Linked DNA regions of Diceros bicornis minor. The protein of the gene in region 2 interacts with the protein of the main gene of each other region in a biochemical or structural test. Links are inferred from orthologs where the notes say so. Each region holds a gene or a part of one and is shown on either strand. Other genes may lie near its edges.

Region 1 (3,747 bases), on a different chromosome or scaffold from region 2:
CAAGTTTTGGTAAGAGCTGGGATTTTTCCCAATTTTCGGGTGGGTACACAGGTTGTCAGGATTTTTGGCAATCTAGTTATAAAATTCAATTGCAAAACCAAAATCTAGAGAGGATTTAAAGGGATTTAGGTACAGCTAGTCAGTTCCTATTCTAATAGGAATAGTCTTTATTAAAATACCAGACATACCTACAGCTTTCTTTGGTATTTCTCTCAATGACCTCAGCCTTAGGGACACACCCTGAAGTGGGCTTTTTAGAAGCAACAGCTGAGCAGTGACCACTTACCTAAAAGTATAATCCTTTGTGAATATGTCCAGGAAGTCCTGCTTTTAGGGTGCATATTTCCATGAGTTGCAATTCACAAATAGTCTCTCAGCCGTTCAAAGGATATTTGGATATAATATTTTCTCTCTGTTAACCCAACTTAACTTCCTTCCTCAGTTTACGCCCATAATGATTTCATGGTCTGCCTCGATAGTGCTACTTAATTATGAACAAGGTCTAGAGTAAATGACACAATTCAGATTTTCCTTTGTAAACCCTGACAGATAAGCACAATGCATTATCACCACCATCTTACACTTCACTCCAGCAGAGACTGAAGGCCATGAAGGGTAATGGCTACTGGCTCTGTCGATACATAGAGAATCAGAAGTCTAAGCATCAACCTGGTGTTTTGACAAATGTATTTTCTAATTTCTGTCAATGAAATCCAAGAAATGTAACCAGAACCAATGTTGCCACCTCCCACCAAGGGCCACCACCCACTCTTTGAATTACCTTCCTCCAGTTCATCCATGCTTCCGATTTTCCTGGCTCCATCAATGGTGTAAATGTAACGCACTCCCTGAGGCAGGTTGATGTTGTCAGACAGAGATCGAGTCAGGTCAGCCAGCAAGGCGTCGAAGCTGCGAAAACGGTCAGAGGACACAGCGTACACAATCCCCTTGAAGTAGCGGTCCCCATTGCGGTAGAAACGTACCTTCTTGGCTTTCTTCTCGTTGCTCAGTGCCTGCAAGGTTCTGGTTCGGTAGAAGCTACAATGGGCGCTGTGAGTGGGGCTAGGGAGCCCATTCATCCGTGAGCCTCGCATGTTCCTGGATGTCTTATCTCTTTCGTCAAAATGTCCAAAATCAAGTTCCATATTTTGGTGGAACCTCAGAGACCTGAGTGTTGTAGAAAGGGGCGGGGGAGAGTGAAAAGAGGCAAAGAAAAAGGAGTGAGGAGGAAAAAAAACGAAAGGAATTCAAATATTAGCTAGATCCAGATCTGCAATCTGCTGCTTGTGAAAAGAACTGGTTGAAAAAAGCCCGTGACCCATCTGCTGCTTGCCCCTGACCTGCAGGAATATTGATCTTAATAGAGAAGAAGGAGGGGCTAGGGGGGTGCTATTGGTTGTGGGGGTTGGGGGTGAGTGATAGGGAAGGAGGCACTTTTGGCACTGTTCCAAACAGAGGAGCAGGAGGAATTTTGAAATAGCTTAAAATCTTGGGACTTACTGACAGTGGCTCCTATCAAATTGTGACTTCGGGCTAAATACATTAAAACTGGCATCTGTTTCCTCGCACATGCCCACATGGCTAACAGTTGTAAATGAATCCATAGCCTGACAAAATTCTCCTTGAAGAGAACAGAAGGAGCTAGCCAACGTTAGCATCTCCAGTTTAGGAAGCAATCTTTGCCTCTCAGTAAAATGACTATGAAGGCGAGTGTTTTAATTTTATTCCAAATCCTTTTTTCTACTCTAATGTGTGTGTCCCCTCCCCCCAGAATAAACTAGGATTCTCCTTTAAAGGGACAGCCTCCAGGGAATAGCCAGCATCTTTGTGCTATTCACCAAACCCTTTCCCCCACCAAGCTGGTGCAGCTATCCAACATTCATAAGCAATAAGCTGAAAAAAAGGATTAGAAAAATCCGTTAGTTAACAAGTTGTTAGCTCTGCTTTCCCCCGTTACCATTTGGTCACAAAATCATTTTCTTTTCTTTCCTTTTTTTTTTTTAGGCACTCGATTCCTCCCCACTGATGCAGCCGCACCTCTTAATGGAATAATTTAATTGTCGAAAGATTCCTAAATGAGTTCCTGAACAGCATATGGGACCTTTAGAAGCAAGCACACCTTTCATTGTTCTGCACTTCTACCCTGACTGAGGGGGCATTTTGCCCTCACGGCAGGCAATTCACCCCAAACTTCTGTATTGCCCAGGTGCATTGGCTGAAGCAAAAGATGGTCATCTGTCAGATTTGCTTTCCCCCCTTCTGCTGAGCCAAAAAAAAAAGAAAAAAAATCAAAACATGAAACCAAATGCAACAGAAGCTCCAAATGCTAGCAAAGGTAGTGACAGCCTAGGAACCAAACTATTAACATGCATCTCACAGATGGGGATAAAAGGACTCACAAAGAAAGCAGGGCTCAGCTGCTACACATTGCCACATTGAGATATTTGCAAGGGACCAGGAGGACAAAGGAGGACTGGTGCCTAGTCGCTTTGCCAGGCTTGGTCCCCCTTTTCTTCCAATGTCACCATGACCTGTGCTGAGCTCAGCGTTGTCTCTGTCAGACAACCTGCAGTGGTGAGAGACCCCACCTCCTCAAGACAAGTAGGAAGCATTTCCCCAGGCATGCCAGTAAAGCTCGGCTTTGCTTTAGGATCAGGGGTGGTGTTATTCTAAATCAACATCACGGTAAAAACAAAGCAACACCAAACTCACTTTTCCAAAGGAAAATCCCAGGAAGAGGCTTAGGAAAAAATCCGATAGAATAAGGCAAAGGGGGAAAAAAAAAAAAAAAAGGAGAAGCAGAGAAAGAGAGAGAGCGTGCACTTTGCCTTGTGCTTTTCCCGTTTGACATCTGTTACATTCTGCCTGAAAATCACTTGAAAGCCCCACTCACCGGTTTTCTGCTGGTTGGGTGGAGATGCTGAGAGAAAGAAAACCAATCTCTCTATGCCTTTGTTGTCTGAGCTCCAAGCAAGAAATTCCTGCCAGGGTGGATAGATGCCTTCTAGGTCCTAGTGCCTTGTCTAGTTCTCCCCTATAACTCAGGTTTAGTGAATCCCCCAACCTCCTATGATTAATTACACTCTTTTTTTTTTTTTTCAACTCACAGGCTGCGTTAACAGCTAGAAAGGTTTCATTTATAACCAACAGGAAATTGCAGGGTAGCAAAAAGATTGCACAGGCAAGTTCAGAATGCTCTACTGAGCAATGTGCTAGCCTTTTCTTTTAGGGAATTGGCAATTTCACTTGGCCAAACAAAACCTTGGCCTAATCTGCCTGGGGGCCAGACTCAGACAGTCAAACCAGTCTTCTTAGAAATTCTAGCTCTCTTCCTTTCACCTTCTTGAAAGAAAACAATCAAATCTGCAAATTCTTTAAGGCATTTTAATTCATGCATCCAACTGGATGTTTTTGAAATGAAATCAGTGGAGTAGACTAAGAGGGAGTAGGAAACTGACGAGATAAGGGAAAAGAGTTCCAGAATTTCATGGAAGGTGGAGCTGCAAAAGAATCCTAAAGACCTTTTAGCTTGGTATAATAACTTGGTTAATGGGATATGCAACGTTTCAAAACCAACCCAGAGACCTTTCTAGGTGAAGTAAGTCTGATGGCTACAAGATAAATATTAATGGCTCTCTCCTCAAACTACCTATTTGTTACCAATTTGCTTCTTTATATCCAATAGGTTATAATAAGAGCAAGGAAGCATCCAAATTGAATTCATTAAATCAAACCGAACTATAAGAC
Region 2 (3,747 bases):
CTAATCACATTAAAATAAAAATGTAAAACTATATCATACATGACAAAGTCAGAAGGCTCATTTACCACATGATTTTGACATTCTTTTGAAGATGTCTGTTCACATGAGTGCCTGCTACAAGACATTAAAGTGACCTATCCTCTCTTATGGTAGAACCTTACAAAAAGGTCCCTTTCAAGGGACAACACAAGAGAAAAGGTCTATATAAAGAGCCTTTAACACAATTTATCTTATCCTTTTTTATTCATCTTTGATGTTCATTATTAAAAAATCAGACTTACTGTTTTAATGCAAACTAAAGTAAAAGAAAACATCTGTAGCATTATTAGATTTTTGCAATATTTCTACTATTTCTTGCCAAATATTTCTGGCATTCATTAATTTACACTTACTTGACTAAAACAATAAAAAACATTAACAAGGCTGTGTATATATATGTGTATGTATATTTACAGAGACAATAAGTGTCTGCTTTAGGAAAGGGACATTGCTTTTTATCCTAACCATTCAATATCTATCTTGCAAAAAGGTGAAAACTAAAAACATGAGATTTTAAGATTTACTACAGAGAAATGCCTTTGTTGTAGCACTAATTAGCATCAAATAACCTTACAAAACATAAGCAGGAGAAAAATGTTATGAAAGGGCAATCTAGCATTTCACAGCTTCTGCTCTCTTACTCCACCCAGTCTCCTCAGCTGAATGGCTGTTCACAGCATCCACAAATATTAGCCCATTTAAAAAAAAAAAGGTGGTGGTGGGGAGGTACCAAAATAGGGCTAGCTCCATAAAAATCAATATATACAGAAATATTTTGTGAAAAATTGGGTTCCTTTCCCTGATTTATAAAAAAATAACAGCTTCAAATTTGTTTTAGGAGATCCTCTCCTTCCAATTCAAACAATGATCATTTATAATAGAACATGAAAGAATAAACCACTCTAAATACAGATTACTCTTCTGCTTTAATAAAAACTGCAATTTGCAACTGCCAATTATTTTGCAAAACTGTGTCCTGAAAGATACCCATGAGAGATTAAAAGCTAGCTACTGCCTTAGAACGAAATCAGAATTTAAGTAAAGGCTTTTTATATATTCGTCTTTATATCACTACTGACATATCCAAGCAGGAAATTTTCCTGATTAAGAGACTGGACCCCGCAGCCATCAAGCCTTGCTGCAGCAAAAAAAAAAAAAAAAAAGCAAGCAAATACTACTGTGGCAAAAGGGGAGGGATGACATTACCGGTATCAAAGGCCCAAGCACTGTCTCCTCCGCCCTAGCTTGAAAATGAAATTCACACAAAACAACCCACCTCCCAACAAAAACAGAATTACCAAAAATCGCACAAATTTTTTGTTTAGCATTTAAAACGTTACGAATCCCAAGGATTGTGTGTTAAAGTAGCGATCAGAACAACAGTAATATCTTTATTCTCTCTCAATGGCCTCTTAAGGAAAGGGGGAGGGGGGAACCTTGGCATGACATCGCCCATTGAGGACGAGACCACAAATCTGGTTCTTCTCTTTCAAAGCACAATTTCTTAACCAAAGGATTGATATAAATTGGACCCAAATCCCAACCCCAACAGAAAATCTCCTGCCCTCCTTCCAAGGAGTTTCTTGCTAAGTCACTGAAGAAAGGCAGAATAACAAATAACGCCAAGGCATCTTGCTCTCTCTCATCTCAGACATTGAAAACCTCCTCTTTTCTACTCTTCTGTTTCGAGAGGTCGAGTTAAAATTTGCCCACCACCTCAAAGGCATTTTCTCACCTGGGAGGCTACAGAAGGCACTGTCTTTCCTAAAGGAGTCGGGAGATGAGATTAGATGAAGGGGAATGGCTGAGGGCCTCGAAGCTCAGTTGTTACAACGTCAAAAGGCAACTCCCGTTTGAGGAGCCGGTGGCAGAAAAGAAAACCCCGCCTGATTTGGTAGGTGGATGCTGCAGATGGTTCGGTGGGTCGGGCCGCTCCTCCTTAGCGGATATCGAGGCTGGACCACCGCACAGGGGCGCCAGGGAAGGGGTGGGCCATCCTCCTCAGGTCAACCTCATCCTAAGGACAGGTGGGGGACGGAACGCCCGAAGGCCTGTGGGTGCCGAGGCGGCGCGGGGCTGAGCCGGGTCCCCGAGCCGCCAACCGCGGAGGGCGTGGGGACTGCGGAGCTCGCCTTACGCGGCCGGCGAGACGAGGGCCGAACCCTTTCCCCAAGATCAGAGAGCGACCTGCTCTCCACGCCCTTCCTACCCAAGAATACTTTTCTTGCTAAGTCACCGAGGGAGGAGGGCGATCTCTTCTCGGGGAGGGCCGCGGACGGAGTCGCGGCGGCCCTAGAACCCCCCGAACCCGGGCCGCGGAGCAGTGGAGCGAGGGCAGCAACCTCCCGGGCCTGTCCCCCCTCCTCCCGTGTCTCTCACTCAACGGCCGTCGCGGCCGCCATTTTGAGAGCGAGGAGAGAAGAAGAAGGAGGAGGCGGCGGCAGGGGGAGGGGGAGAATGGGAGGGAGGGGACCGGCGCAGCCACATCGTCAGGCCGCCGGGCCCGGCCCGCAGCCGCCCGAGCGCGGTGGAGGAGACAGAGGGGAGGGCGCAGACCCAAGCCGCCTTACCGGAGCGCTGCACCGCCGACTCCGCAGGGCCTCTTCCGTCCTTCACTCCCATCCACCGGCGGGGGAGGGGGAGAGGGAGAGGGAAGGGAGGAAGGAGGGAGGGAGGGAAGGAGGGAGGGGGAGGATGGCGCGCTGGGCCTGGGCCCGGTCCCGGGGAGGGGGAGGGGAGGGGAGCGGGCGGGCTCCTCAGCCGTTCCGGGGCTCGAGCCCAAGCCCGGCGCTCGCAGTTTCTCTCGCTCGCGCCCGAGCGCTCCCCTCCTTCTCCTTCTCGCTCCCTGGACCCCGGGGTCGCTGCTCCTTCGCTCGCTCACTCGCTATCTCGGCCGCCGGACTCCGCCGCCGCCCCGCCGCTCCAGCTCCGTCTGTCACAGGAGCTGCCCCAACGCCCTGACGTCACCGCGCCGCCGCCGCCGCCCCAAACCCGCCGGGAAGAGGGAAGGGAGGGGGCCGGGAGCGGAGGAGGGGTTGCGGCGCATGCGCCGGCCTGGGCCGGGCCCTGAGCCGCGCTGCCTTCCGCTTAGCGGGCGGGTGGCTGGTGCGGCTTGGCGGTACCGAGGGGCCGGTGGGCGAGTTTGCGCACGAGGCTCTCCTCGCGCTCGGCTTGCCTCTGTAACCTTGGAAAAAGGCTCTCCACTCCCTTTTCTAGACCGTCCTCTCACTGTTGTGGCTCCTCACGAACTCCAGCTCTGTTCACCTCCTCTCCCTGCTCTTGCCCGAAAACGGCACTTTCCCCGCGTCCCCCGGCCAAACAGCAGGGACCCGTTGGCACCCGTGGATTCCGGGCCCTGATAGGCTTCAGAATAAAGCGGAGCCCGGGTCAGGGCGTCGTCCCTCCTACCTCCAGCCTTCGGGTTTATTTCCCAGTTGAGGGGGTGGGTAAGGGGAGATGAGTGGGTTGGGTTGACTTGGGGAGAAGAGCTGTTGAGGTTAAAAGGCCGATGGAGTGCCAAATTGTCTGCATTTTTCCTATAGATTTTTAACTGGGAAGATTCGCTTTTAGATGTGATTCAGCTATTCTTTTCCTTAGTCACACACACGTCTGAGACTCGAAGTCTCGAAACTGATGCGCAAAGAAAGACCTAGAACTTTATCCCGACAAGGCATGTGTGTGTGTTTGCTAAAATATGAGTTAAAATAC

What was found. The genes of interacting proteins can lie anywhere in the genome.
Region 1: the proteins of PAFAH1B1 (region 2) and DCX form a complex in vitro, tested with the Homo sapiens proteins (2 studies listed by BioGRID). The link is inferred for Diceros bicornis minor from reciprocal best matches to the Homo sapiens genes PAFAH1B1 and DCX.

What each region holds. Positions count from the first base shown.
Region 1 is NC_080781.1:103,378,494-103,382,240, forward strand, and holds the start of DCX (neuronal migration protein doublecortin), read right to left. Parts: upstream 2,944-3,747; 5' UTR 2,894-2,943; intron 2,776-2,893; exon of another isoform or gene 2,713-2,775; intron 1,168-2,712; 5' UTR 1,146-1,167; coding exon 782-1,145; intron 1-781. UniProt on the Homo sapiens protein: Microtubule-associated protein required for initial steps of neuronal dispersion and cortex lamination during cerebral cortex development. May act by competing with the putative neuronal protein kinase DCLK1 in binding to a target protein.
Region 2 is NC_080757.1:15,310,092-15,313,838, forward strand, and holds the start of PAFAH1B1 (platelet-activating factor acetylhydrolase IB subunit beta), read right to left. Parts: upstream 2,972-3,747; 5' UTR 2,610-2,971; intron 2,057-2,609; exon of another isoform or gene 1,775-2,056; intron 1-1,774. UniProt on the Homo sapiens protein: Regulatory subunit (beta subunit) of the cytosolic type I platelet-activating factor (PAF) acetylhydrolase (PAF-AH (I)), an enzyme that catalyzes the hydrolyze of the acetyl group at the sn-2 position of PAF and its analogs and participates in PAF inactivation.